Linked DNA regions of Caenorhabditis elegans. The protein of the gene in region 4 interacts with the protein of the main gene of each other region in a pairwise test. Each region holds a gene or a part of one and is shown on either strand. Other genes may lie near its edges.

What was found.
Region 1: the proteins of spk-1 (region 4) and npp-20 interact in a two-hybrid assay, tested with the Caenorhabditis elegans proteins (one large-scale study listed by BioGRID).
Region 2: the proteins of spk-1 (region 4) and obr-4 interact in a two-hybrid assay, tested with the Caenorhabditis elegans proteins (one large-scale study listed by BioGRID).
Region 3: the proteins of spk-1 (region 4) and F33D11.10 interact in a two-hybrid assay, tested with the Caenorhabditis elegans proteins (one large-scale study listed by BioGRID).

Annotation. Positions count from the first base shown.
Region 1 is NC_003282.8:1,490,150-1,498,001, forward strand, and holds npp-20 (Protein SEC13 homolog), read right to left. Parts: upstream 5,874-7,852; 5' UTR 5,859-5,873; coding exon 5,811-5,858; intron 5,742-5,810; coding exon 5,667-5,741; intron 5,578-5,666; coding exon 5,456-5,577; intron 4,796-5,455; coding exon 4,481-4,795; intron 2,166-4,480; coding exon 1,895-2,165; intron 800-1,894; coding exon 689-799; 3' UTR 504-688; downstream 1-503.
Region 2 is NC_003279.8:5,827,818-5,835,158, forward strand, and holds obr-4 (Oxysterol-binding protein), read left to right. Parts: upstream 1-1,573; 5' UTR 1,574-1,582; coding exon 1,583-1,709; intron 1,710-1,759; coding exon 1,760-2,145; intron 2,146-2,683; coding exon 2,684-2,758; intron 2,759-4,283; coding exon 4,284-4,405; intron 4,406-4,572; coding exon 4,573-4,699; intron 4,700-4,773; coding exon 4,774-5,051; intron 5,052-5,123; coding exon 5,124-5,322; intron 5,323-5,667; coding exon 5,668-6,176; intron 6,177-6,236; coding exon 6,237-6,336; intron 6,337-6,386; coding exon 6,387-6,494; 3' UTR 6,495-6,820; downstream 6,821-7,341. Other genes in the region: twk-47 (Potassium channel domain-containing protein), read right to left, coding at 6,827-6,971, 7,024-7,190, 7,244-7,341.
Region 3 is NC_003279.8:5,866,045-5,870,094, reverse strand, and holds F33D11.10 (RNA helicase), read left to right. Parts: upstream 1-1,955; 5' UTR 1,956-1,965; coding exon 1,966-2,301; intron 2,302-2,349; coding exon 2,350-3,021; intron 3,022-3,140; coding exon 3,141-3,332; 3' UTR 3,333-3,533; downstream 3,534-4,050. Other genes in the region: vpr-1 (Major sperm protein), read left to right, coding at 148-322, 481-766, 858-1,005, 1,092-1,220.
Region 4 is NC_003281.10:9,455,629-9,463,509, reverse strand, and holds spk-1 (Serine/threonine-protein kinase spk-1), read right to left. Parts: upstream 5,983-7,881; 5' UTR 5,527-5,982; coding exon 4,487-5,526; intron 4,410-4,486; coding exon 4,295-4,409; intron 4,242-4,294; coding exon 3,993-4,241; intron 3,887-3,992; coding exon 3,578-3,886; intron 3,527-3,577; coding exon 3,287-3,526; intron 2,993-3,286; coding exon of another isoform or gene 2,816-2,992; intron 2,445-2,815; coding exon 2,364-2,444; intron 2,318-2,363; coding exon 1,595-2,317; intron 1,548-1,594; coding exon 1,447-1,547; intron 1,404-1,446; coding exon 1,250-1,403; 3' UTR 503-1,249; downstream 1-502. Other genes in the region: B0464.6 (uncharacterized protein), read left to right, coding at 35-128, 186-389; rheb-1 (GTP-binding protein Rheb homolog 1), read left to right, coding at 7,501-7,573, 7,700-7,825, 7,879-7,881. UniProt on the Caenorhabditis elegans protein: Required for embryogenesis and germline development in both adult hermaphrodites and males. SR-protein kinase (SRPK) that binds directly to and phosphorylates the RS domain of rsp-3/CeSF2 in vitro.

The DNA.
Region 1 (7,852 bases), on a different chromosome or scaffold from region 4:
CCAAACTATTCGAGATTATTTCTAATTTCTAACAAATTTCGGTCAACTTCCGCTAGATAATAGTATCAACCAAGAAAAAAATTATTCCCAGCACGCGGGGTCGAACCCCGGTCTTCTGCGTCCCAGCCCAGCCCGTTGCCGCCTGCGCTACTGCAACCAATTTTTCGAAAAATCCTCGGAAATGAGCCAATATTGGTGTCAAATAAACGAAAATTGTGCGAGAAATTTGAACATGTGCATGGAAATTTGTAAAAATCATGTTTTCAAAAACTGTTCCGCATTTTTCCGAAAAAAAACTGATTTTTTTCAAGTTTCACTAGTTTCCAGCAGGTTATACTCAGTTTCAGCTTGTTAACAGTATCAATCACGCTAAGATAAAGAAAATTCCCACCACGCGGAGTCGAACCCCGGTCTTCTGCGTCCCAGCCCAGCCCGTAACCGACTGCGCTACTGCGACCAATTTTTCAAAAATAAGAGAAAATCTGAATTTAGTCGAAAAAAATCAATAAATAAATAAAACTTCATCCCGGTTTCGCATTAGTTTTTTGAGAGAGAAAAAGAAGGAAAATCATAAAATATCTGGATTCGGAGAAGTAAATGAGGAAAAAAATCAATAATAACAGGTACATATACAAGTTTTAAGAGGAATTATGGGTGTAGAAACAGCGAAAAAAAATAAATAATTTATTTATCTCTGAGCTCCCGGAGCTCCGACCGCTTGGCTCATTCCCTCGCGTTCCTTATTGTCACGTGGCACTTTGATCCATTGTCCCTGAAGATTTTCGCGCCAAATTGTGATCTGCAAAATTGGAAAATGAGCGTTTTTAGGCGTAGGTGCCTGCCTGCCTGCAAACAGAGCTTATCATATGCTTTTTTTTGTAGAAACGGCACTTTTTTAAGAAGATTTGCCTACCTACCTGTAGGCACGGTAGGCACACGTGTAGGCATTAGGCAGGCGGGAACATTTCGTCTGGTTTTTCGTAATTCTAGGTCGAATTTTTCAGAATTTTCGTTGAAATTCAATTAATTCCGGTGATTTGATCGGAAAATTCGAATTTTTCGCCATTTTCAGTAAAATTACTGCAAATTCTGAATTTTTGAGTATTTTTTTTCCATTTATTCAGATTTTTCGTGCCAAAATGCTTTTTTTGCAAGTTTTCGGTAGCTTTTTCTCAAATTTTTCATAAAAATTGAAATTTTCATGTGCTGCTCAAAAATCGATACTTTTCAACCGAAATTCGCCGGTTTTTATGTAAAAAAAATTGATTTTGAAGTGATTTTGGCCAATTTTCCGGTAAAAAAAATTTTTTGTTTTCCCACTTTTTTGCCAGTTCTCAATAGATTTTTTTTTCCAAAATTTTGAATTTTCCAGGTTTTGCTCGAAAATTAATATTTTTAGCATTTTTCGATCAAAATCACCTGAAAAAATCGAATTTCAACGAAAATTCTGAAAAATTCTTCCTAAAATTACGAAAAACCGGGCAAAAAAGATAGAAGTTGTATTAAAACCAAAAAAAAAAAAAAAAAAAAAATCAAAATTTTCCTCACAAAAACCTGCCACCTGCCTCATGCCTACTGCGGCTAGAGGTAGGTAAGATTTTTTTCCGTTTTTTTTAATGCCAAAATGCTTTTTTTTTTCGCTATTTTTTCCAAATTTTTTCGAATTTTCTAGGTTTTGCTCGAAAAATCATAATTTTGAGCTAAAAAATCCAAAATTTCAGCGATTTTTGCTAAAAATGTGACAATTTTCCGTTTTTGAAGCGATGATTTTCGCTGTTTTTGTACACTTTTTTTTTTCAAAAATTGTGCCATTTTTGACGTAAAAAATCCATAATTTTCCCAATTTCGGTGCCAATTTCCACATTATTCCACACAAAAATCCTCGATTCCATACCACATTATCATCGCCAGCAACTGAAAGGAATGATCCACACGGAGAAAATGATGAATGGTACAATGCACACGGAGCCGTCTCCAATAATTTCGCCTTCCACTCTTCAGTTTCAATATTTGAAGTACGGAAAAGTACCAAATTTCCCTCCATTCCACAGCTAACAATTGTATGTTGTCCATTATTTGTTACCGGGCACCATGCGGCTTCACGTACAAAATCTGTGTGTCCGGCTAGGGTTTTCTCGAGAATCCATTCGTTTGTAGCGTCGTCACTGGAGGAAAAAATATTGGTGATTTCGAAGGAAAATTGTCATTAAGAAAATGAATTTTTCTTAGGAAACCCCAATAACACTGCAACTTTTTCCTCACGAGGGACGAGGAAAAGTGGTTTCTAGGCCATGGCCGAGGGGCCGACAAGTTTCAGCGGCCATTTATCTTGCTTTGTTTTCCGCGTGTTTTCTTTTGTTTTTCACAGCTTTTTCCCGTTTTTTCTTATTAAAACTGATAAATAAATATTTTTTGCAGATGCTAAAACAATTTCCAAGTTAAAAAATTATGTATCCAGTGGGCAAGCAGCGGTGAAAGTGGGCAATGTAAAATGATGGATTACGGGAATACAAAACCTAAACTTTTTCTGAAACATGATACATATGCTGCTTAAATGCTGAGACTACCTGATTTTCATAACGAGTCCGCTGAAAAAGTTTTGAGGTTTCCACAATTCAACTTTTTTGGTAAAAAAGTCGAGATTTTCGCACAAAAAATTGAATTTTGAAAACCTCAAAACTTTTTTAACGGTCTCGTTATGAAAATCAGGTAATTTCAGCATCTAAGCATCATATGTATCATGTTTCAGAAAAAGTTTAGGTTTTGTATTCCCGTAATCCATCATTTTACATTGCCCACTTTCACCGCTGCTTGCCCACTGAATACATTTTTTTTTTACTTGGAAATCGTTTTAGCATCTGCAAAAAATATTTATTTATCAGTTTTAATAAGAAAAAACGAAAAAAATCGATGAAAAACAAAAGAAAACAGGCGGAAAACAAAGCAAGATAAATGGCCGCTGAAACTTGTCGGCCCCTCGGCCATGGCCTAGAAACCACTTTTCCTCGTCCCTCGTGAGGAAAAAGTTGCAGTGAGAAACCCCAATAAATTCGACAAAATTCAGTGGGAAATCAGCTTTTGGGCAGCTTCAAAATTGGGATTTTCCAAAGCGAACCCAAATTTCTGCATTATAATGGGGAAATTTTTTTTTTTTTTTCGAATTTTCACCAACAATTTTGTTTGTAGCGCGTCGTCACTGTAAAAAAATGGGTAATTTCGCGGAAAAATTGTCAAAAAATGGATTTTTCAAGAGGAAATTCAGGAAATTCGACAAAAATTTCGAAAGAATATACTTTTTTTCTGATTTTTCAGCAAAAAAGATTAATAAAAATTTCCGATTTTGGGGGTTTTTTGAAATGAAACTGCGAAAAATCTGGAATTTGAGAATTTTTTGCAAAAAAAACAGCTTTTGGGACAAATTTTCAAGTTTAAATTATTTTTTGAGTGATTTTTTCAGTTTTTTTTTAATCAAAAAACCGAAAAATTGGATGTTTCAGGGGGAAAATCCAGGAAATTCGACAAATATCTGTTAAAAAATATCCAAAACCTGGAAATTTTGAATTTAACACGATAATCTGAAATTCGGGTAGAATTCGCTTTTACTTTTACAATTTTTTAGAAAGAAATTTATTAAATGGTCGGATTTTTAGTCTTTTTTGATGGAAAACTGTGAAAAAATGGGTTATTTCACGGAAAAATTGTCAAAAAAAAGGATTTTTCAAAGGAAACTCTAGAAAAATCTGGAACTTTGGCGAAAAATTTCCATTTTTTCTCGTTTTTCGCGTCGTCACTGGCAAAATAATGGGATTTTTCAGGTGAAAATTTAAGAAATTTGAGAATTTTCGGTGAAAAAATACGCTATTGGGTCGAATTTTTAACTTTAACATTGTAAATTTTGAGAATTTCAGAAAAAAAAACAATTTTTTCATTGATTTTTCAGAAGGAAATTTTTTTTAATTCTGGAATTCAGGCTTAGGCTAAGGCTTAGGCCTTAAAAAAAATCCGAATTTAATTTTTATTTTGCGAATTTTTTCATCCCAGAAAAACTGACTTTTTCAGGGGAAAAATCTCAGAAATTCTTGTGATTTTAGCAAAAAATCAGGTAATTTTGAGGGAAAAATTTGAATTTTTCAAAAATTTCCGGTAAGAACTGCACTAATTTGTGATTTTTAAACAAATTTTGGATCAAAAATACAACTTTTTTGGGAAAATTTCATAAAATCTGCCAATTTTGCTGAAAAAAAAGTAAAATTTTACGACTTTTTTTCCGAGAAGTTTTGGCAATTTGAGGCTTAGGCCTAGGCGTAGGCGTAGGCTTAAGCTTAGGCTTAGGCTTACAAAAAATCTGACTTTTGAGAACCTGAGAAAATTGCGGTTTTTGTATTTTCCATCGAAAAAACGTCAAAATTTCACGTTTTTCGGGTCAAAAAAAATCTAAAAAATCTAAAAAATCGATTTTCAGTGCATTTTCTCTACTCACAAAGCCCAAATCTTGACATTTTTATCATTTCCAGCTGAAACAAGACGTTTTTTTGCCGCCGGATCAGCACTTCCAGGTGCCCAACACACTGAATTAACTCCTTGTTCATGACATTTCTGAATTTTCGACGAAATCCATTCGTTGCTCGAATTGTCGTATCGAAGAATACCGATATCACCGTCAGCAGAGGCAGAAGCCAACATTAGGCCATATTGGTGTGGTGCAAAGGCCACACAAGTCGTACTGGCCTCATGAGCGGCCCATTCGTAGGCTTTTTGCCAGCGGCCTTGTTGTTCGTTCCAGATTATCACTTTTCTGGAAAGAAAATCGATTCATTTGGGGGAAAATTGGCTGAAAATCTGTGAAAATTGATGAAAAATGCCTGAAATTAGAGCAAAATGAGCTAAAAATTGCAAAAAACCCGTGAAAAACTACTGAAATTCATGGAAATTCCAGAAAAAAACGTTGGATTGGGGGGTAAATTGGCTCAAAATTCCGAAAAAAAAACTATGAAAATTGAATAAAATCGATAAAAATTACAAAAATCGGGGCAGAAATCGACTAAAATTCGGGAAAAAATTGCAGAAAATCGGTAAAAATTTCATAAAACCCGTTGAAGTTTTTAAAATTTTGGTGGATTTGAGGGAAATTAGGCTTGAAATTCAAAAAAAAACTGTGAAAATTGACCGAAAATACTGATTTTTCTTTAAATAATCCGTGAATTTAAAGGGAAAATAGCGTAAAATCGGTGAAAAATGATCAAACTCATTGAAATTTCAGAAATAGGCTGCATTTTTCAATATTTGTGTCCATTTTCTTCCAAAATCACTCTGTTTAACCAATTTTTGGCAAAAAACCCAAAAAATGAGCTGAAAACCGATTAAAAACAGAGATTTTAGCGTATTTTTATGAAATTCTGATCGAATCTAGCAAATTTTGATCATTTTTCCGTTTTTTTTTCCAAATATTCCGTACTTATCATAGGAAGCGGAGGCAAGAAGTCCTCCATATTTCGGATGAGCCCATGAGACTTTCCAAACGGGACCACTGTGTCCGACAAGCTCCGCCATCGGATATGACTGGCCATTTGGGCGAACCTGTAATATTTTTATATTTTTTTTTGCGTTGAAATTATGAAAATTCTGGGATTTTTGCAGAAAATCCAAGATTTTTCGCCTTTCCTGACCTCAAAAATCTTCACAAGACGGTCAGATCCACACGTGGCGAGTCGGCTTCCGTAGATGTTGAGCTGAGCGTCGTGCTGCAATTTTTCAGAATTTAAAAAAAAAAAATAGATTTTCTTAGCTAAAATTCAGATTTTCCGACTTACAATTGCGTCACGATGTTGTGTATCGATTCTCTGGCGGACCGTGGTCATTTTTCAGCTGAAAATCTAGAAATTTCGAAAAAAATCGCTAAAAATTGAGTGAATTTCGGCAAAAATTGAATTTAAAAATTGCAAGTTGGAACGATCGAGAAACGCGTCAACACGAGAAACGCGCCAGCAAACGATAGCTGGCGTGTTTCTCGTGCGCCAAGGAACGTGGATTTAATCACGAGAAAATAATAATTGATGGAAACCTGGAGAATTCGAATGGGAAATTGTTGATAATTTGATAAAAATAACAATTTCTAGTTCTACTTTTTAAGATTTTAAATCAAAAACAACTCAGGGAACCTTTCAACACAGATTAAAAGATCAAAGTTCTGAAAAACAACTTTCTTAATTATATTGTCCTTGTTTTTTCTTCTGTTTTGATTTTTTCTTCTGATCATCAATATCAACACGCCGTACTTTGAAGTCTGAAAAAAAGATTCAAATGAAAAAAAAACACATTATATTTTGTGCTTAGCCTCCGTGTGTCTTATTGCGGGTCGCGTGACGTCGTCAGCGCAATTTTTACGATCATTTCTTTCTGTCATGATCATCAGTTTGATTTTCTAGCGTGATTTGGAGGCGAAAATCAATAAATTATAATAGTTTTTCGCTTATTCCTGTTTTAAAACATGTTTTCTATATTTTTATTGAGAAACTTGAGATTTTTAAAAAGAAAACTTTAAAACCCGCTTGTATTTTTGCAATTATCTTATTTTTTTCAATTTCTTCGCTGAAATACTTGAAAAATTGCAATTTTTGCTGAAAATAATTCCAAAAAGTGTGCGCGGCAAGTAAAATGCATTGTACGCAATTGCGTATCAATGCATCTAACCCGACGCGCAGTTTCAAGGTTACTGTAGAACATTTTGTTTTTTTTTGTGTTTTCCCCAATTTCCAGCCGAAAAACTCGAATTTTATGTGTTTTCCAACGTTTTTTAAAATGTTTTTTTTTGTAAAAATTTTAGAAAGTCAGCAAAGTTAACGTTTCTATCGAAAAATCCAGTTAAAAATCAAAAAATTATCGATTTTTCGGATTAATTTGGAAATTCAATCGAAAATGAACTATTTGAGGAAATTCTGGCAGTTTTTGCGGAAAAAAATTGAAAATTGACAGAAAAGTCGATATTCTAACAGAGTTTTCACGCAAAATCTAAAAATGTTGAATTATTTTTCGATAGAATTTCGGGGTTTTAAAAATTTTTAGGACAAAAATCAATAATTTCCAGAATTTTTTTGAAAAAAGTTTCGAAAAATAATAGTTTCAAGAAGCATCAAAATCGTAAGTTTCAGTTTTTTTCAAATTTCCGATAAAAATCCCCAAAAAGTAAAAAAAAATTTTTTTTTGAAAAAATCTGTTATTTGTGCCGAAAAATCATTAAAGCAAATATAAGAAAACTATTATTTATCTAAATTCTTATAGAAAATCCAATTTTTTTTATAGAAAAATCAAATTTAAAGAAAAAAAAAATCAATAATTTCCCCCAAAAGAATCCTGCCACCCCAAAAATTATCAACAGAGCACAATTGCATCATATTCCATAAAAAATATCATTTGGCACACTGCCAAGTCTTCATCACACCAACATCTCTGCACTCTCCACATCTCTGAACCCCCTTCTTTCAGTGTCTGCGTCTCCACACCCTCTACACTCTCTCACCCTGGCTGAGGTCCTCTTTCTCTTCAATTCTGCACGTGCGGACTGCCCTTTTTATTGTTTTTCTCCTTTCTGCCACTTGATTTGATAGATAAATTATCAAAAAATCGATAATTTTAAATTTTTTGCGAGAAAGTTGGAAAATTCCAGAAATTTTCCAAAAAAATCCCTGTAAATTTGTTAAAGTACATAGTTTTTCCGAAGAAAATCGACAAATCTCGGAAATTCGAGGTTTTTAACCGAAAAACACTGCAACTTTTTCCTCACGAGGGACGAGGAATAGTGGTAGGGGCCGACAAGTTTCAGCGGTCATTTATCTTGCTTTGTTTTCCGCCTGTT
Region 2 (7,341 bases), on a different chromosome or scaffold from region 4:
AAAAAGTTTTAAAAAAATACACAGTTTCGCTGTAAGACCCAACAATAAAAGTCGTGCGCCTTTAAAAATTTATTCTAATCGATGTGAGACCTAATGCCAAGCGGTCATGTGCCTTTAAACTTCATACGGTATTGTTTTTTTGTTTTTCAAACATTTTCTTATGTATTAATCAATTTCCTGAGCAATGCTTATCATTTATTCAATTTTTTCATTATTTCTTGTTAAATAATCTTCTCAAATCGCTGTAAAAATCGTATATAATTTTTTTCATATTGCGTTTTCAGGGCTCATGAACCTATTAAAAATTTTAAGAACTTTTCAAAACTTTCCTTACTTCTACTACAAATCGGCATTGACGAAAAAATGCGCGCAAAGCCTCAAAAACCAAGAAAAACCACAAGAAGACCCAAAAAATATTTGCATAAGCATAAATATCGCCCCGCTTCGCACAAAAAACGTGTCAGTATTGGTGCCCGGCCGGCGCGCCAATATTCTCTTCGTTCTCTTGCTCTTCTCGTTCAGATTCATGTTCGTTCCTTCGGAAAATGACATTTATATTTTTATTCAAAAAATAATCCATCGAAATTATTTAGGTTGAAGCAAATTTTATTGCGAAACGAACTAGACAAAACATAACTTGTCAATCGATCCCCTTCACGAAATGCTCATTAGAACTATCTTTTATACTTTATATTGAACAGTTAAAAAATTTCTGCAATCAAAAGAAAATCCGTGTCATGTGTCTATTTCAGTTTCAAAGAGCGCTGAGTCCATATGCTGAGCTTATACTCCTTTTAATATAAAATAATCTCTCTGGATACGTTGTCAATCACCTAATAGTGTTTTTCAAATATTTAGTTTTTGACATCTTATTTGAAAGGATACTTTTTTTAAAAACAAAATTCCAGAAAATTTATCCTCAAAATATTAATATTTAAAAATCAGTAAGCAATTAATTTTTGGAATATATTTTTATCACAGCACTTTGTAAATTTTCCAGAATATTTTGTTTCGTTAAGCTAAATCAGGTCGAGTTTTGTTGTTTCCGAGAATGTTTCGCCTATAAAATAATCCAATAGATCAAGGCAGAAGAACCATGCCACGTGTCATTTCTTATCTATGTTCTCCTTTTTCTTCCCATTTCTCTTGCATTTCTCTCAACAAAATGTGCGTATCGGTATTGGAGGCCAAACACGAACCCTCACACCTCCCGCGCGTATTCGCCCATTTACCCTCTTTTTCTCACTGTCTCTCTTCTCGACACACTATCTTTCAATTTCTTGTTGCCTCTCAAATACATCGCTCCATTTTTTATTCGGATAAATTCAGATTTCTTGTTTTTTTGATTTTAGTAATCGATGAAATTTGAAATTAGTTTAATGCGGAACTTGATATTTTGTTTTTCACAAAAATAATTAATGAATGTAAACAGCGCGAAAAAGTGACAAAATGCAACCAAGATTTTAAAATTTTCTGAAAACTTCAAAATTGCTTTGAGATTTTATTAGAATCGTCATATTTTTCTTTCAAATTTCAACGTGCTAAAAAAAAATTGAAAATCAATTAATTTCAGCATCCACAAATGGAAGGTCCGCTCTCAAAATGGACCAATATGGTTCATGGATGGCAATATCGGTGGTTTAAAATAGAAAATGACACTCTTTTATACTACACATCACGCGAAAAAATGCTCAAAGGGCAACAAAGAGGTAAAGAGATACTGGTTTCTTCGAAAAATCTTTTAAAAATATATTTCCAGGTCAAATTCGTCTTACCGGTGCTGTGGTGGGTATAGATGGTGAGAATAATAGTTTATTCACAATCACAGTCGAAGGAAAAACGTTTCACATGCAAGGCCGAGATCTTCGAGAACGAAATCAATGGGTTCGAATTCTTGAAAATTCGATTCGTGCGAGTAGTGGATACGCAAAAAATGTATCCGTCGGTACTACTCCATCTCAACATTTTAAACAACGAACTGAAGAAGCAAATGAATTTTTAAAAACTCTAGTGGAAAAAGTGAAAGCACTGGAACAATTGAAAAGTGGAGAACGAGCTGTAGATGAAAAGAAAACAATTGATTCATTGATTGCGGCGAGCAATAATTTGACGAATAATGTGAAACATGCTATTATCTATCTTCAGGTTTGTAATTTTTCATTTAATGTTAAAATTGTATATCTGATAATAGTATTGTAAACTCCCAATATTTTGAGATGCCGTCGCAAAAAATTTATGGCAGTTAAAAAAAAATTGAAACTGCTTTCTCATTTAAGTTCCCTGCATCTTGTCGGTTTCTATTCATTACTTTAAATCCCCCCAAAACAGCGTTTTATTGGAAAAAGTTCAATTCAAAACAAGTTTTAACAGGAAAAGTAAGAAGAAACCGACAAAATTCGATAGAAGAATATAATGTCCTTGAAAAAAAATAAGCCAAAACTTTTTTTTGCAAAGCTTCCATTTAAATAATGCGTGCGTCTTTACGAAGATCTTTCAAAATCTTGCGAAGTTACGAATATTGTGAGCATAATGCCGGAAATTTAGATTTTTCGAAAAAAAAGCCATAAAAGGAGAAGATTTTCCTACTTTTTTCCTGAGAATACTCAACTTAACTAAAAAATTAAAAATCACATAAGCATCACGTCATACAAAAAAGAGCTTCTAACAAAATCTCAAATTTCAGATGGCTCAAGCTCGTCTCGATCCGAATATGAAGACTGAAAAGTTGATGTTCACACATCCGGATTTGAATGAAAAGGTAATTTTTTGAAATATTGGAATTCTATTTCAAAAATTAAACCTTTTCAAAAAAAAAACTGTAATCGGTAAAAGTAGCATAGAAAAACGAGGTTATTTCTAATTTCAGTTTAAATTAAAAATTGTAAACTTATTTTTGCACTTTTAAAAATAAAAACTTATTTTAAATTCCAAATGAACTCTTATTCTTCAGTCATTTATCACTTTTTCAAAAAAGTTGACTCAAAGTAACCAAAAGTTGGCTGTTATTGACAATTAATCACTTGACAGAGTATTGAATGACGTCATTTCTAATTTCAACTCAATTTTTTTAAACTAATCATTAGCATTTCTCAGGAGAAAGTTGCGTACGGATGAAATACCTTGTTTTTTTTTAAATTTATAAATTAAAATAAGTTTAAATTAAATAAATTACATAATTTCAAAGTCTGCGACTATCTCATCACTAAATTGTCAAATATCTTTTATTGGGAAATCACAGATCAAATTGATCACAATGCGCATTGTCAAGTGACATAGACAATTTTAATGTGTTATGAAGTATGTGTAATCATTAATATTTTCAATTTTTTCCATTACTAACAAATATCTATGTCTCGAAGTTTTTTTTTTCCATTAAAAATTAATTGATATTTATTAAGAAAAATCAACAATCAGAATTCGTTCTCGACTACAAATTATGATAACAAGAACGTTCTTTTGATTTCTTATTCTTTTGCAACAATCGAGAATTTCTGATTTATTACCCTTGACTGGGGTCCAACCACCATGTCGAATTACACCTTTTTCTAAAAATTTTCGTCATTTCATCACGTGATATTCTATATACGTGATGATATAGTTTGACTTTAGAAATCACATTATTTTGAAAATAGTCTTTTTTTGTTTTTTACGCTGAAATTTTGGAGATAGGAAATTCAAAATTCACGATTACTATAAGATTAAAACAATTTCCGCACCATTCGCTTCTAAAAACGTTTTTATTGGTTTTTGTTTTATTGTTTCACATTCAAAAATTTCTCAAATTGTTCCCCCTTCTTTTTTCAAAGCGGAGGTCTTTTTCTCCCCCCACGTTTTCCTTTTTTGTAGTTATGATGTGAGACTGATGCTACAGAGCACATAGATCTAAAGAGACGCAGAATGAACAAGAAACCCCACTGACAGTCACGGCTAGGAAATATTCGTGTCAGGATTATTTCGAAGTTTGAATTGGGTTTGATATATTTTTTTCATAAGTTTTAAAAATTATTAAGTTCTCATATAGAAGATTGACGAGGTATGGGGAATATATTTAAATATCTCCAAAATTTATTTCTTAAAACTGAAAATTTATTAAAATATACACGTTTTGATGACTAGTTTGACTAATTTTAATATATAGGCAAACGTGAAAATTATAATTAATTAAAAAAAAAAGTAAATGTGAAAAATATTCATTTCCTAGTAGTTTTGAACAAAGAGTGACTCTTTCTCGTTCTTATCAAAAAGTTCAAAAGCAAATGTGCATAACGAAAAAACGTATACAGCCGTCGTCACGTGAAACTCCTGGAACAGTTTCTGATTCAACACAGACAAGCACTGACAAACCGATTTCTGGAATTCAACATCTCGATCATTTGAAACCACAACGGGCCGAGTCGTATGCGAGGTGGGTTTTTTGATATTTTAAAAATTTCTAACGTGTTCCTCCAATTCACTCGTATCTGAGAATGCTATTTGAACCAAATTGAATTTTTGTTTTTTCGGGAGCGCCCGGATATGTGTTTCGCTCCAACTAGTGCCAATGTCCTTATTGTCAACTTTTTTTTCTTGCAGCAGTGACGAAGAAGAGTTCTACGACGCTGACGAGGAACTGATCGACTTGGATAATTTTGAAAGTGAGAAGAGTGGACAAGAATCAGGAGATTCTAATAGAACTAGTGACGCTGCAATTATGTCATCGGTGGGTTTATAAAAATGAAGAATACGAGCTAAATCGTTATTTTATTATTTAAAATTGAAATAAATTGTTTTCAGGATGAAGATGGATACGATTTTGGTGACTCGAATGAAGATTTCGATGAGATTTATAACAATGCTGAAGAGCACGACATTGGAAATGTTCAACAGGATCATGGATCCGTTCTTATGCATCTTCTGAGTCAAGTGAGCGTTGGAATGGATTTGACGAAAGTAACTCTTCCGACATTTATTTTGGAACGTCGTTCACTTCTTGAAATGTATGCCGATTTCTTCGCCCATCCGGATCTTTTCATTGCAACCAATGGAAATGATTCGGCAGAAAAGAGAATGATGTAAGTTTCGGAAATTATTCAAAAATCTAGAAAATTGGTCTCCAATCAGGAAACTTATTTATAATTTTTCAGCGCAGTCGTTCGTTACTATCTCAACTCTTTCTATGCTGCACGAAAAAGTGGAGTTGCCAAGAAACCATACAATGCTATTCTCGGAGAAACTTTCCGTTGTAGATACAGTGTCCCCAACTCGTCATTGAGCGGAAAAAAGACTGAAAGTGGTCCATGGCCAGGTTCTGATGAAAAACAATTGACTTTCATTGCTGAGCAGGTATTAATTATTTTCATTTTGAATAGAGGATGAAATCAAAAGTCGAAAAATCAAAAAATTGAAAAAAAAATATTCAGAAAATGAACAATAATATTCCATTTTTTAAAAATCATTTTGTTTTATGTTGATGAAAAAACATTTATAAAAAATGTCTTCTATTTAAAAAGAGAAAAATGACCAAAATTGCAACATATTTTATCGAAAAATCGATTTTTTTTCTCGAAATATTGGAAAACCGCAGAATTTTTGATTTTTCGATTTCAGGGAAAATCGAAAAACCGTGCCCTTGTCTTGAATCAAGATATTTTAGAAAATTCCTGTAATTCACGCAATTAAATATTTCAGGTCAGTCATCATCCACCAATTTCGGCATTCTACGCTGAAATGCCATCCGAAGGGATTTCATTTAATGCTCATATCTACACAAAATCATCCTTCCTTGGTCTCTCAATTGGTGTTGCAAGCATTGGAGAAGGTATTCTAACACTTCATAACTATGGTGATGAGCAATACACAATCACATTCCCATCTGGATACGGACGATCCATTATGAGTACTCCATGGTTCGAATTTGGTGGAAAAGTGAAGGTTGAATGTGAAAAGACTGGATATCGTGCTGATATTGAGTTCCTCACCAAACCGTTCTTTGGTGGTAAACCGCATCGAATTCAAGGATCAATTTGTCGTGATGGTGCCAAGAAACCGGTATTGACGCTTCGTGGAGAATGGAATGGAACAATGTATGCAAAAACACAAAATGGAGAAGAATATGTATTTGTTGATGTCAAAGCAAAACCTGAAGTTAAGAAAGAATGTGTTCCTGTTATGCAACAAGGGAAACGGGAGAGCAGAAGGTTAGAAGAAAACATTTTCATCCTGACAGAAAATTTGAAAAGTTCTGACATTTTTTTCAGATTGTGGAGACATGTGACAGCAGCTTTGCTCAGAAATCGTATTCAAACTGCCACTACATCGAAAAGATTCATCGAGCAGAGACAACGGAAAGAAGCGAAGGTATTTATTATATTCTCAGTTTCGACAACATAACATTCTAATTCTTTCAGGAACGCCTCGAAAGTGGTGAAAAGTGGACGCCGCTTCTTTTCGACACAACTGACAAGGACGGTGAATGGATGTATAAGCAGAAGTTCGGTGTCAGAAAAGCAGTTTGAGTGTCCACCATATTTGTGCTAAATAGATTTGAATTTGTGTGTAATACGAGTATAATTGCCTAAATTAGTTCAGTTTTGAACTCCATCTTGTGTGGTTTTTCCTGCATCCAGCTCCACTCTCAGTTTCTCTGTGCTCATTTCCCCAATCATTTTTTCTTGCTCCACCCGCCCCTTCAACTTCTCCCAATTTTTCTTGTGCTATTGAAATGTGTGTACTTATTCTCATAAATTGAGCAGCAAGAAGTGAGCATGAGCTTTGATATTCTAACTCGGTGATCAGATGTAAAACGATTATGGATTTATTTATAGATAAAATTTTGCAAACGATTAACTCAAAGTTCCACTTTATTCGTGATTTGTCCCCTTTTATTAACATATTTGATCTCCGTCGTGTACTTTCGAATTTCCTTTTTAAATCTTTTCTCCATATTTTCCTCAGGTGAGAAGCTCATCACGTCGACCACAGAAGCTAGTTTTCTGGAAATTAATTTATTTTGATTATTGAGTGATTCACACACGGAAACCATACGTTGAAGCCTTTCCACCAAGTGAAGCAACATCTTCGTGACGAGAAAAACTTCTTTCCTCCAAATCTTGCTCATCGGCAAATTTAATAACTTCCATTGTTTGAGGCATAAATGCAATTGTATCACGACGCTCATTCAGTTTGTCATTTGCGGTATTTTCGTGCATATACTGGAAAAAAGAAAGAACCAAAATCTAAAACCTAGATTTTAAATATGAAGTACCTCCAAAATGTCCAAGGTGGTAATTTTCTCTTTTTCTGGATATCGTTTTCTTATTTCTTCAATTATTTTCAACAATTCTTTCACTTGAACATCCATTT
Region 3 (4,050 bases), on a different chromosome or scaffold from region 4:
CGTTTAGTGTTCGGTTTTGTGATGTACGTAAATACCAATAGAAAAAAAACAATTTTTAATTCTTTCGCCTTGATCCAAACTTCCTATCAATCTTTATTTTTTAACATAATTATTTTATATGAACTAACTTTTTTTTTCAGCAAAAAAATGTCTGAAAAGCACAGTCTTCTGCAAGTGACTCCAAATCGTGAACTCGTGTTCACTGGCCCATTCAGTGATGTTGTCACATCACACATGACTCTCAAGAACACATCAACCAATCCAGTGTGCTTCAAAGTGAAAACAACGGCTCCAAAGCAATATTGTGTTCGTCCAAATTCTGGTGAGTGATGGATTTATTTGCATTGAAATCAATTTGATATGGAAAAAGTGAAATTAAACGCAAAAAGAAAAATATGATTTGTATTTAGACCTTATCTGTTAGACTGGTTGATTTTTAAAACTGAAGTTTACTTTGACCTTCTGATTTTGATTTTTTAGGCCTCCTGAAATCTGGTGACTCGAAACAAATCACAGTAATGCTTCAACCTCTGGAAGGAATTCCATCTGATGCAGGACGACATAAGTTTATGGTTCAATCGTGTGTGGCGCCTTCGGAAGATCTGCCAGATTTGGAATCGGTCTGGAAAATAATCGATCCAGCGGAGCTGACCTACAGCAAGCTTATGGTCACCTTCGTTGACAAGAGAGATCCAGCGTCTGGAGATGATACAAAAACCTTTGCGGTTAGGAACGAGGATAGTTTTGCTTCTTCTGGACAGGCACAGTGAGTTTTTACTTATAATGGAGGTTAAAAGAAGGTTAACAATTATTGTTTCCTTCATAAACTTCATTCAATAAAAAACTAATATTTGCAGAGAGCTCGGAAGTTCGTACTCTGGAACACCATCGCATGATGGAACCGTTAACTCCCTTCGCAAATCGTTGAAATCGACAGTTGACGAGAAAGAAGAATTGCAAAAGAAAGTACATGGATTGGAACAAGAAATCGAAGTCATGCTCAAGGTAATATCAGAAAAGAAATTTGAAAAAATTAATTACACTTTGGAAAAAAAAATATGTGTTCAATTTTCTACAAAAAATATTTTCAGAAGAACCGCAAGCTTCAACAATCGCATTCTGATGGAGCTCTTGTCGACGGTGCATACCCAACATTGCAAATTTTCCTTATTGCGGTTGCCGCTTTGCTCATCGGGCTTATTGTTGGCCGTCTTTTCTAAATTCTGAATCAATTCTTCCTTCATTTTCACTTTTAAGTAACTAGTGGTACTATCATTCACGTGCTTTTTTGCTGCCACAAACATTAAAACACACAAGCATTGCTCCATTCGGATTTTCATCAAATTTAACCTTCAAATCCTAAATTTTCTAACTTTTTCTCTGCCAAGGGCGAAATTCTGAATATTTCAAAAATCAAAATGTTATTTTCTGCAATGTAAATTGACATATTTAACTTTTCGGTTTTTTGAAATTTTGAATACTTGCCTCTTTAGTGAACGCAGCGCGCAAAAATTTCAAACTTTTTCTCAAACTACTTTCACTTCTTTCCTTTGTTTATTCGTTTTCCGTTTTTCCCGGCGTCTTCTAGACCATCATAGATCCGTCTAGTGACTGCCTATCATCATACCCGGTAGCCATTATCAAGAATTTTATTTATTTATTTTCCATTCTATGGTTCCCCGTTCCCCCAACCTTTTCTCATTTATTTTATGTGTACAACCATTGATTGATATAGGACTCCATGGATTTTAAGAAAGCCCCATGCTCTTTGAAACAACCAATTTAAGTCACATGATTTGTATATGGTACAATAAAATTTGATGTTTATGGTTTCCAATAACTATTTTTATTTTTGAATTTTTTCGCCGTATTATCTCGGAGTATTTACCTGGAAATTTACGCGACTCGACAATAAAATGTCACTCGAGTGATGTTTAAAATTAATCTTTTTTCAGATTTTCCAAAATGGCTGGTAAAAAAGCAGAAAAAGATGATATGGCAACAGTGGAATTCGAATCTTCTGAAGAAGTAAATGTTATTCCAACATTTGACAAAATGGGTTTGCGAGAAGACCTTCTTCGTGGAATTTATGCCTATGGATTCGAAAAACCATCGGCTATTCAACAAAGAGCAGTTCCAGCAATTCTTAAAGCACGTGACGTCATTGCTCAAGCTCAATCTGGAACCGGAAAGACTGCGACTTTTTCAATTTCCGTTCTTCAATCATTGGATACACAAGTTCGAGAGACACAAGCACTTATTCTTTCTCCAACCAGAGAATTGGCTGTCCAGATTCAAAAAGTATGGATATAATAAATACAGAGTTGCAATAAAAAACACATTTTGCAGGTAGTTCTTGCTCTCGGAGACTATATGAATGTTCAATGTCATGCCTGTATCGGAGGAACAAATCTCGGAGAAGACATTCGCAAATTGGATTACGGTCAACACGTGGTTTCTGGTACTCCAGGACGAGTATTTGATATGATTCGCCGTCGTAATCTTCGTACCCGAGCGATCAAGCTTCTGGTTCTTGACGAAGCCGATGAAATGCTGAATAAAGGTTTCAAGGAGCAGTTGTACGATATCTACCGATATCTTCCACCTGGAGCACAAGTCGTACTTCTGTCAGCCACACTGCCTCATGAAATTCTAGAGATGACCAGTAAATTCATGACAGATCCTATCAGAATTCTTGTGAAACGTGATGAACTGACACTTGAAGGAATCAAGCAATTCTTCGTTGCAGTTGACAGAGAAGAATGGAAGTTCGACACTCTTATTGATCTTTATGATACTCTTACCATCACACAGGCTGTACTATTCTGTAATACCCGTAGAAAGGTTGATTGGTTGACGGATAAAATGAAGGAAGCCAACTTCACAGTGTCATCAATGCACGGAGATATGGAACAGAAGGATCGTGATGAAGTTATGAAAGAGTTCAGAGCAGGAACAACGAGAGTGCTCATTTCAACTGATGTTTGGGCGAGAGGATTAGATGTTCCACAAGTCTCGTTGGTAAGATTTTTTTTTAGTTTCTTCTCGATTTGTAATAAATTAAAATGATTAGTTTTGCAAAAAACCAGCAAAAAAAAGTTGTCATGAAATATAGACAATTCAGTAAAAACTTTTTTCAGGTTATCAACTATGATCTTCCAAACAATCGTGAATTATACATTCATCGTATTGGTCGTTCTGGACGTTTCGGACGCAAGGGAGTCGCCATCAACTTTGTGAAGCAAGATGATGTCAGAATTCTGCGAGACATTGAGCAATACTATTCGACACAAATCGACGAAATGCCCATGAATATTGCGGATATCATTTGAAGAAAGATATATTTTCGCTCACCTCATGTTTTAATTTATTTTGTTTTTGTTTTCTTTGTTTTGAAAATCCTTATCAATTATTTCTTTTATTTTAATCCTACAAAGATCTCCTTTGAATCCTTCATGATACTAAGACCCAAATACTATCCAACGGAGATTTTTAAAAATCTGAACAGTAATTTGAATAAATGGAGATCTTAATTTTCTTTTCAATATTTTTATGTAAGCCAGTAGAAACTTCTCTAATATTCAAAAATATCGGAAAATAACCAATTTCTAATTTTCGGCGTGATATTCACGTGAATTTATACTAACAAAAAAAACATTTCAGAAAAAAATCAACTCTACGAAGGCTTCACGTGGAATATCATTGCATTGTGGGTTTTTAAATATTAAATTTTTCTTTTATTATTTTATGTTTGATTTTTAGGAAGTTTCAGCCTCTTTAAATTGAGAATTACTTACTCAGAGACCACTCGCTTTTTGAACACACGATTGGTATTCTAAATTCCTATCTGAAACGGAAATTTTTGAATTCAGACGATGCATCATTTTCCTCTATCTTAGACACAAAAACTCAAATACAACAACCCGCCGTCTCGTAGCTTTTGCCTTTCTCGTCAACTAAAAACCGAACGCACTCGTCTTGTCTCCCACTCTATCGTCATCAAAACGGAGTAAGAAAAGTAACAAGAGACTGTGTTGAACAATGAGACTC
Region 4 (7,881 bases):
AATAAATTGTGTTAAAAATTAAATCAATTTTCAGCCTTGACCAGCCATTCACCAGCCGATTCTGTGTCAAAAATGCTCAAAAACCATCATCTGCTCAACGTACTCCATTCAGTTTCTATCTTCACATGGTATGGCTTATAATAATTCACTCTTGTTCCTCCTCACTTCAAGAAATGTTTTTTCAGGTTACAAAATCTCCTCCACACGCTGAATTTGTGCACATTGATGAAAATGGATATGCAATTAAGTGCAACGTTCTCCGTCAATCACCCAATCTCTTCCGTGCTATCGCTCAATTTATTCATTTTGTGAAACATGAAAATCATGGATATCTGGATCAGACCTCAATCGGACCATCAGGAATTAACATGACATACGTCCTGGCGTGAAAAATTCAATTCAAGTTTTTATATGATGTTTATTATCGTATCCTTTAACAGGTTTTTATTTTCTCCCGCTTTGTTTTGTTGTTCTTTTGTTACGATCTCTCGACGACCACCCACATGAATCAATTATTTTTTATCTCGCTAACGTTACAAAATTCAATCATTTATGTCTACGAGGAAACCGAGATAATGAGAGAGAGAGAAGGGGAAAGGAAGCAATGAAGCACAGTAAAGATTTGAGAAAGGTTTATGCCAAATAGTTTGGGTATGTGAACAGACGGAGGAATATAAATGAAAAAGAAATGGGGGGAAAAGATGATCTACTGTTTGAGGCTGATAGAAGCATATGATGTTGTTGGGCAGAGGATAAGGACGATGTTCGTACAAAATAATTATATTATACCAGTAGCACTAAAGATCAAAAGGCGCTTCAACGAGACGCGCACGAGAGTGGCGCTAAACGTGCTTACTGCTCAGTCACTTCAGGAAGAACGGTGGTAAAAAAGAGAAAGGATGCGGTGATTCGATGTAGAAAGTGACAGGGAGAATGGGGAGATGAAGTAGTCGGATGATTGTTGAAATCCGAAACAATAAGTTAAACACTGTCTAGATTCAAAACATAAAAGTAAACACTCTGGAACAAAAGATTGGAAAATGCTGAAAAAAAAAATTAGCCCGAAGTGTTTTCTTTTCACCTATCGTAGGCAAGAAACGAGTAAAATTTGATTGAAAAAAGGAAAAACATAAAGATGAATATCGTCAAATTGACAGGAGAACATGTTTAACTCGGGAGATGTGCAAGAGGGCGTTGAAGAGTGACGAGACGGTGATGGAAGTGTTAACAAACAGGAGGGATTCGTGCACTACTGCAAATCCAGCTGAAAGCGTTCAATGTCAGAAATGTCGGTCGTTTCATTGTTTGTTATCACCCCCGATGGACCAGGTCGATTCATGTTGAACTCCTCCTCGTCGTCGTCGTCGCTGCCGCCCGCAGACCTGCTATTGGCACTCCTCTCGCTGCAATTTGCGTTTACATCCGCGTCGGTCCGAGCTTACGAACCTCGCCGATCTACTATCATTTTCGTCACGGTAAACTTCCTGATGCTCATTTCCGTCGAACGGCTCGGGAATCAATCCATCCGGAAACATCTTGCTCAGAAGCTGTAAAAATTATAGAGAAAATATTGAACAGACAATTAATATAAAACCTCAGGTGGACAATCAGATTTTGGCGCTCTTCCTCCAAATGGTAACAAGAACGGATGTTTCAATGCAATTTTGGCCGTAGATCGTTTCTCCTGATCGAAATCAAGCATCGGACGAAGGAAACTTTCAAACTGCTGCGCGTCTTCATGAGACCACTCGTATTTTTGTCTCAAAACCTCGTATAGTGACCATGGTTTAAGTTGGTGAATGTGAAGTAAGTGTCCATTTTTGTGGAAGAACTCTCTCCAATGTTTACCCTTTTTGTAAATTGACGGTGGAATTGCTCCAAGAAGTTCGGAAATGTGCGCAAGATGATCTTCATCGCGTGAATAGTTATCTCCTTGGTGTGGTTCAAACAAATAGTCACCGGTTGCCAATTCAAAAGCCATACACGCGGTACTCCAAATATCAGCTGGAGGTCCGTATCCTGAACCGATCAACACTTCAAGTGCTCTATACTGACGAGTTTGAATATCGTCCGTGTAGTGATGATTCACCCAACACGCGTTTCCGAGATCAGCGATTTTGACGTCGATGTCACAATATGGATCACCAATGTTGGGGCCAACTGGAGGAGCAGGCAGGATACCACCTGGAGGCAACTGGCTCATGGGCGAGCTCAGATATTCGGCGGATGGTGAGGCCAAATCTCCAAACTTGCTCTCCGGATCACTGAATGGAGTCAGCGTGGTTCTATCGAAACGATCAGGGCTCCTGATTTCCACCTGAAAATATAAATGGTTGTGGCTACAAAAATGAAATATATCATACCTTGTTTCTGTTTCCATTTTCATTGACAGTATCTTCCATGGTGACATCTTCCACTTGTGAAGCGTTGAAGTTCTCCAACTCCTGAAAAAATAAAAATTAAATTAATTGATTCAGATTTTTTTCTAAACTGAATTCACAACATGTTTAAGCTTATATATGATAAAAATTAGATACAGCACTGATGTATTTTCTGCAACAAAGACGAAACGACGAAAAAATGCAGACGGCATCCAGGGCGCAGCGGCAAAAAAAACCGAAACTAAATAGTCAGTGAATTTTAAAATAAAGAAACGGAAGGAGAAATGAGGTACGTGTGAATATACAAGCGTCTTCCGGTAATTTTGGTTGCAGAGTGGAAATAAGTGTGTGAATCGAGGAAGAGAGAGTAGAAGGGAACCATCATCATGTCAACACAACCAAACACTCACACCAACATTCGCATTCAGGATCACCTGTGTCAGATGATACGTCTGATTGCAGACGCATCCAACCTGTGGATAGAGAGATGGTGGTGGCGGTGGAACCGTTCTTGGAGACGATGGCGTATTCACACAAGAACTGCCTTGAAGCAGTTGGGGAATCGGACCATTGAAGAGCAAAGATGGAGGACGCATTCGGACACCATTTTGCTATATATCAGTTTTATCGTTTTTGTTTCGTTTTTTAAAAAATTATGATTGATAGAGTATAATCTTGATTTTTTAAAAATTACCAGCGTATTTCCTCTATTATTATTGCACATCGAAACTTTTCCAATGTTTGTCAACTAAGAAAATACTTTTTTATTTCTTTTTCTATCGTTTCAAAATTAAAATGTGAAATGATATCTTTGAAATGAACAGAGATATATTCTTTCAAATTTAAAAATTCAAGTATTGGGGTGCAATACTATTAGAAGAAGAACGGTATAGTGTTCAACTTACCGGTGCATTATTGTATGCCTCCTGCAGCCCATTAGCGTCCATTTTGAGGCCTTCGAGTCCAGCCAATTCCGCTTCCAACTTCTCTCGTTGTTTTTTGGCCTTCTTCTTCATCTTTTTCTTCTTGTTTTTCGTCATATTCTCCTGAGCCATTTTCACCAAATGATCCGGTGCAGTACTGACAGCCGATCCACTCATTTTCATATTCATCTTCCGGGCAACTACAGCATGTTGAGCCATAATCTGTAAAATTTTGAAAAATTAATTCCACAATTAATGGTTTTTAAAAAATACCTTGATCTCTTCTCGGCTCATCGTGATTAGCACATTTTCAGGTTTAATATCAGTATGAATGATGCCGCACTTTTCATGCATATATCCTAACGCCTCCAGAACTTGTCTGCATATTTTCCTAACTTGTTCCAGATGAAGTCCTCGATAATTTGAGCGTATAATCAGCTTTAACAGATTGCACCCAAGAACTTCAAACACCATAGCAACGTGCTGACCATTAATTCCCGTAACAGTGAATTCATCGAGCAATTGAACAACCTTGTGGCATCCGATGTCATTTGGATCAGCACTTCGTACGGATAGCAACAACTGAAATTATTCTCGTTTTATATTAGTCTTAATTTTTTTTTCTCGAGTCTCAGAGAATGTTGCATAAAAATCTATTGTTTCAGCACTACGTTACTTCAAAACTAACCTTAATTTCATCAAGAGCCGCTTCCGTGTAATGCTCCGCTGACTTCACTATTTTCATGGCAACAAATCGTTTGTCTTGAGTGTCCCACGCCAGCCAAACCGTAGAAAAGTGACCCCATCCAAGTTTACGAATCACATGATATCTCGCATTGAATACATCACCAATGTTGACTGGATGATATCCACCTCGTTTGTAATCACGTGGATCTTCTTGTTCTTCATCGTCAGATCCAAGTTGTTCTCCAGGATCCTGAAAATAAATATGTATAAATACAAAAAAATGAAATGCAAAAATCAACTCACCATTGGATCTTGGAATGAATCTGAATGTCCACCACCGCCGCCTCCAGGAGAATCACTTCGTCCGGGGCTCACACTTAAATCGTCCAAACGCTCTTCATTAGCATTGACTTCGGTCCTGAAAAATGTAAATTAAAAGACAGTTTCTGATTGATATTAGTAATACTAATTTAGTTAATGGAAAATAAATGTTACTTTTTGTTATTTCTTGGAATTATAGATGGACGAGGAATAGAAATAGAAGCTGAAGCGCATGCGGTTCCCAGATCATACTCGAACATCTGAATTTCGATATCTTCTGAGTCGTAAGAGGTAGCACTGTCGTCCCCGTCGTCGCCCGTTGAGGAAGACGATGTCGACGAGGAGACTGAAGAATCGATCGTCCCTTCACTCTCTTCACCCTCTTTTGCTGACCGCATTTCCACCGGAAGGTTATCGTATTTGGATGTGTCCTCATCGACAAGAACATCTTTTTCATTTTTATCGTCGTTCGAATGACACGACGCCAAATCTTCAGTTGCTGACTCTTCTGCTTCTTGTGATTCAATAGAGCTTACCGAATCAATTGATTCTTCGGTAGCATCATTCACATGAAAAGAATCATCTTGAGATTCAACGTCCTCTTCATCTGAGGCAGATACGCAAGAGTTCATGTCTTCATCAGAGCATCTTGAACCATCTTGTGATTGTAGCGACTGTTCATCGTCCTCATTCGAATGATCATTCTCATTTACAACACTTTTTTGTTGTACAGTTTCACCCTCTTCGCACAACGTTTCCGGTAGTTTACTGACTTCGGAAATGTTAGAGGTAACCATTAGAGCGTCTGATATATCGAAATTCGACGCGACGCCTCCATTATCTTCCGCACTAGCGAACACTAAATTAACTTCTGTCTCTTCATTTTGTGTACTCGTATTTATTTCTTGGGAAGAGATTTCTTCTTCTTCATTGGTCGAATTTTCTTTTTTATTTCTTTGCTTTACAAAGAAATAAAATCGATTCTGGTTGACCAAATCAACATTTATATGACAGGTTACGTCTGCAGATGATGCCAAAAGCTGTGTACAAATATCAGTTTCAGAATACGATTCGTGGTCATTCAGTTCTTCCGATTCCTCTGAATGAACACGAAAACGGCGGCGTCTCTGAACGGCTTCATCTTCGAATTTATAAAGTCGTTCTCGATGCTGGCTGAAGCCATTGAGCCATCTACAGAATAGAACCACAAACATGAATATGACAGTGGGGAAAACGTCAGTTAAGCTGAAGGAGCCGCCTGCTTCGACATCATTTGTTATACCCGAGTAATCGATAGCTGAGAGCGAATGTACTGCTCGACCGGCCAGCCTGACAGAAGAAAACTGGATTCAAAAGCAGGCGATTTTTTTTGAAATAGCGACCACGTAGAAGCGAGTTGCGACGCTTTGAGAGTGGGAAGGGGGATAAGGAAGATCAGCGGCGCGAGAAGTGTCTCGAGAATATTGGCGGCGGCCAACGAGGCGCGAGGAGCGACTTGAAGAAAACGCGATCGGTGTGAGAAGGAAGAGTGTTCAAGTGATAGTGATGTAATGATTGCGGCGCCCAACAAGAGATAGAGGAAATCCTGGGTCTCTCTTCCTTGTTTCAATCTTCAACTTGTCGGCCAGGTCGCGAAGAGGAGACAGCTGACAGAGAGAAAAGGCCAAGGTGAAGGAATAGAGAAGATAGAAAAGAAGGGACGAATGGATGGATGGGTGGATGGATGACGGACACACGAAGGTGGGATCATTTGAGACGAAGTGAAAAGACAACCAGTTGCTGTCATGAGAAAAGGACGATGCAACGATTACACCAAACAACTTATAATCATTTTGGTCCCGGTTTCAGCGATGTAATTAAAGCATATTAAAAAAAAAAACTCAAAATCTCACCTTTCCACGTGATTTGATCCGTTTGTTGTAACTGTTCCATTTTTCAAATTTGCGTTTTTCTCACCCGCTTGAGGAGATGTAGGCGTGTTTGGTGCTGTGGGCTGAAATATGAAGATTAAAAAAGCTTAATGGCAGAATTCTATTAAACTCACATTCAATCGGCGATATAGCCAATGTATTGAATGCAAAATACTAAGCATGCTCATAAATTTTCACTTTGTTTTGTTTTAAAACTAGTGTAAGAAAAGAAAATTAGTGGTTATCTCTACCCCTGGGTCATTAGCGGCTGCCACTGGCTCATAATGAAGCCGTTCTCATTTTACTTGAGGCAAAGGAGAAATCTAAGTTAAAACTGATGTGAGAATATATTAGTGGAGGGCTCGCATCCAAGAGAGTAAGCTCGGAAGTGCGTGAAATGAAGGGAATGCGACAGAGCTGTTTGAAGTTTTCAAATCTCTAGAGGCCATTAGAAAAAAAGAGTATTCTTTGGGTTCGATTTAGTGTCAGAACAGACTGAGCTTTAATTTTTCGAAAGTGTAAGTGTTTAGAAAAAGGGAAAACTTCTGAACAGAAACCGAAAAATGCTCACCTTTTTCTTATTGGTCTTCTTCTTCCTTTTCTTATTTGGCAGTGGTACTGTGCTGTTTTTTTCTGGTCCGCCCATATTCTACACTTAAACACGGTTCGTTTCACTGAAATTGATACAAATAAATAAAATAGGACTCATCAAAATTCGGGGAAAACAAGAAAACACTTCAGAGGAAAATGTTTTTGAGTTTTTAAAAGTTTGCGGAGGTTAATTGAACAACAAAAATGATGATAAAAAGATTATATCTGCCCGTACAAACATAAAATATAATTCTTGATAAGACCTATGCCAATTTCGAATGATAATAACGCTTTCAACGCGGAGGGCTCAAATTGGCGGCCGTTTTGCGCCAGAAATATCGATCTCGAGTTTGATCTGCAGGTTTGCTTGGGTACGGTGGGTTTGGCTTGCTGCCAAGAAGTGTATCATGCGCCTCCGTCTCTTATTTTCACACGCTCTCTCGCCTGCAATTCTCTATTTACAGTTGGTTTTTAGTTCGTTTTATCAGGAAAAAAGCGCATATTATTGCAAAAGTACATCATTTCTTTGTTTCTACATGTTAAATATTAATAGAGAATTTAAAAATAATGATGAGTGTTTAAAAAAATAATTTTTTTACTTTTCCCTTTTTATTTTATTTATTAATTTTTTATACTTCTATCAAAACTCAATCATTCAATATTCAGAATATACTCATTTTTGTGAAGATGAGCAGTTCGCTGCAATCAAATCGTCAGAGTCTGAATCGAAAAGTGGCCGTTATGGGATATCCTCATGTTGGTGAGCGTTTACGACAACTTTTTTTTGTAGAAAATCAAACATACCGGGAGCAAAATTGAACAAAGCAATGAAAAAATTAAAACAACTTTATTTAAACAAGGACATTCACGTTGAGAAACTTTACAGGAAAATCGGCGTTGGTACTTCGTTTCACACAAAATATTTTCCCTGAAAGGTATGAATCAACAATTGAGGATCAACATTCGAAGCACATAGCAGCGTTTCACAGGGACTATCATTTAAGAGTCACTGGTAAATTTTATCATTTTTTGAGCTTACTGAAAACTGATATTAGATATTTCCAGACA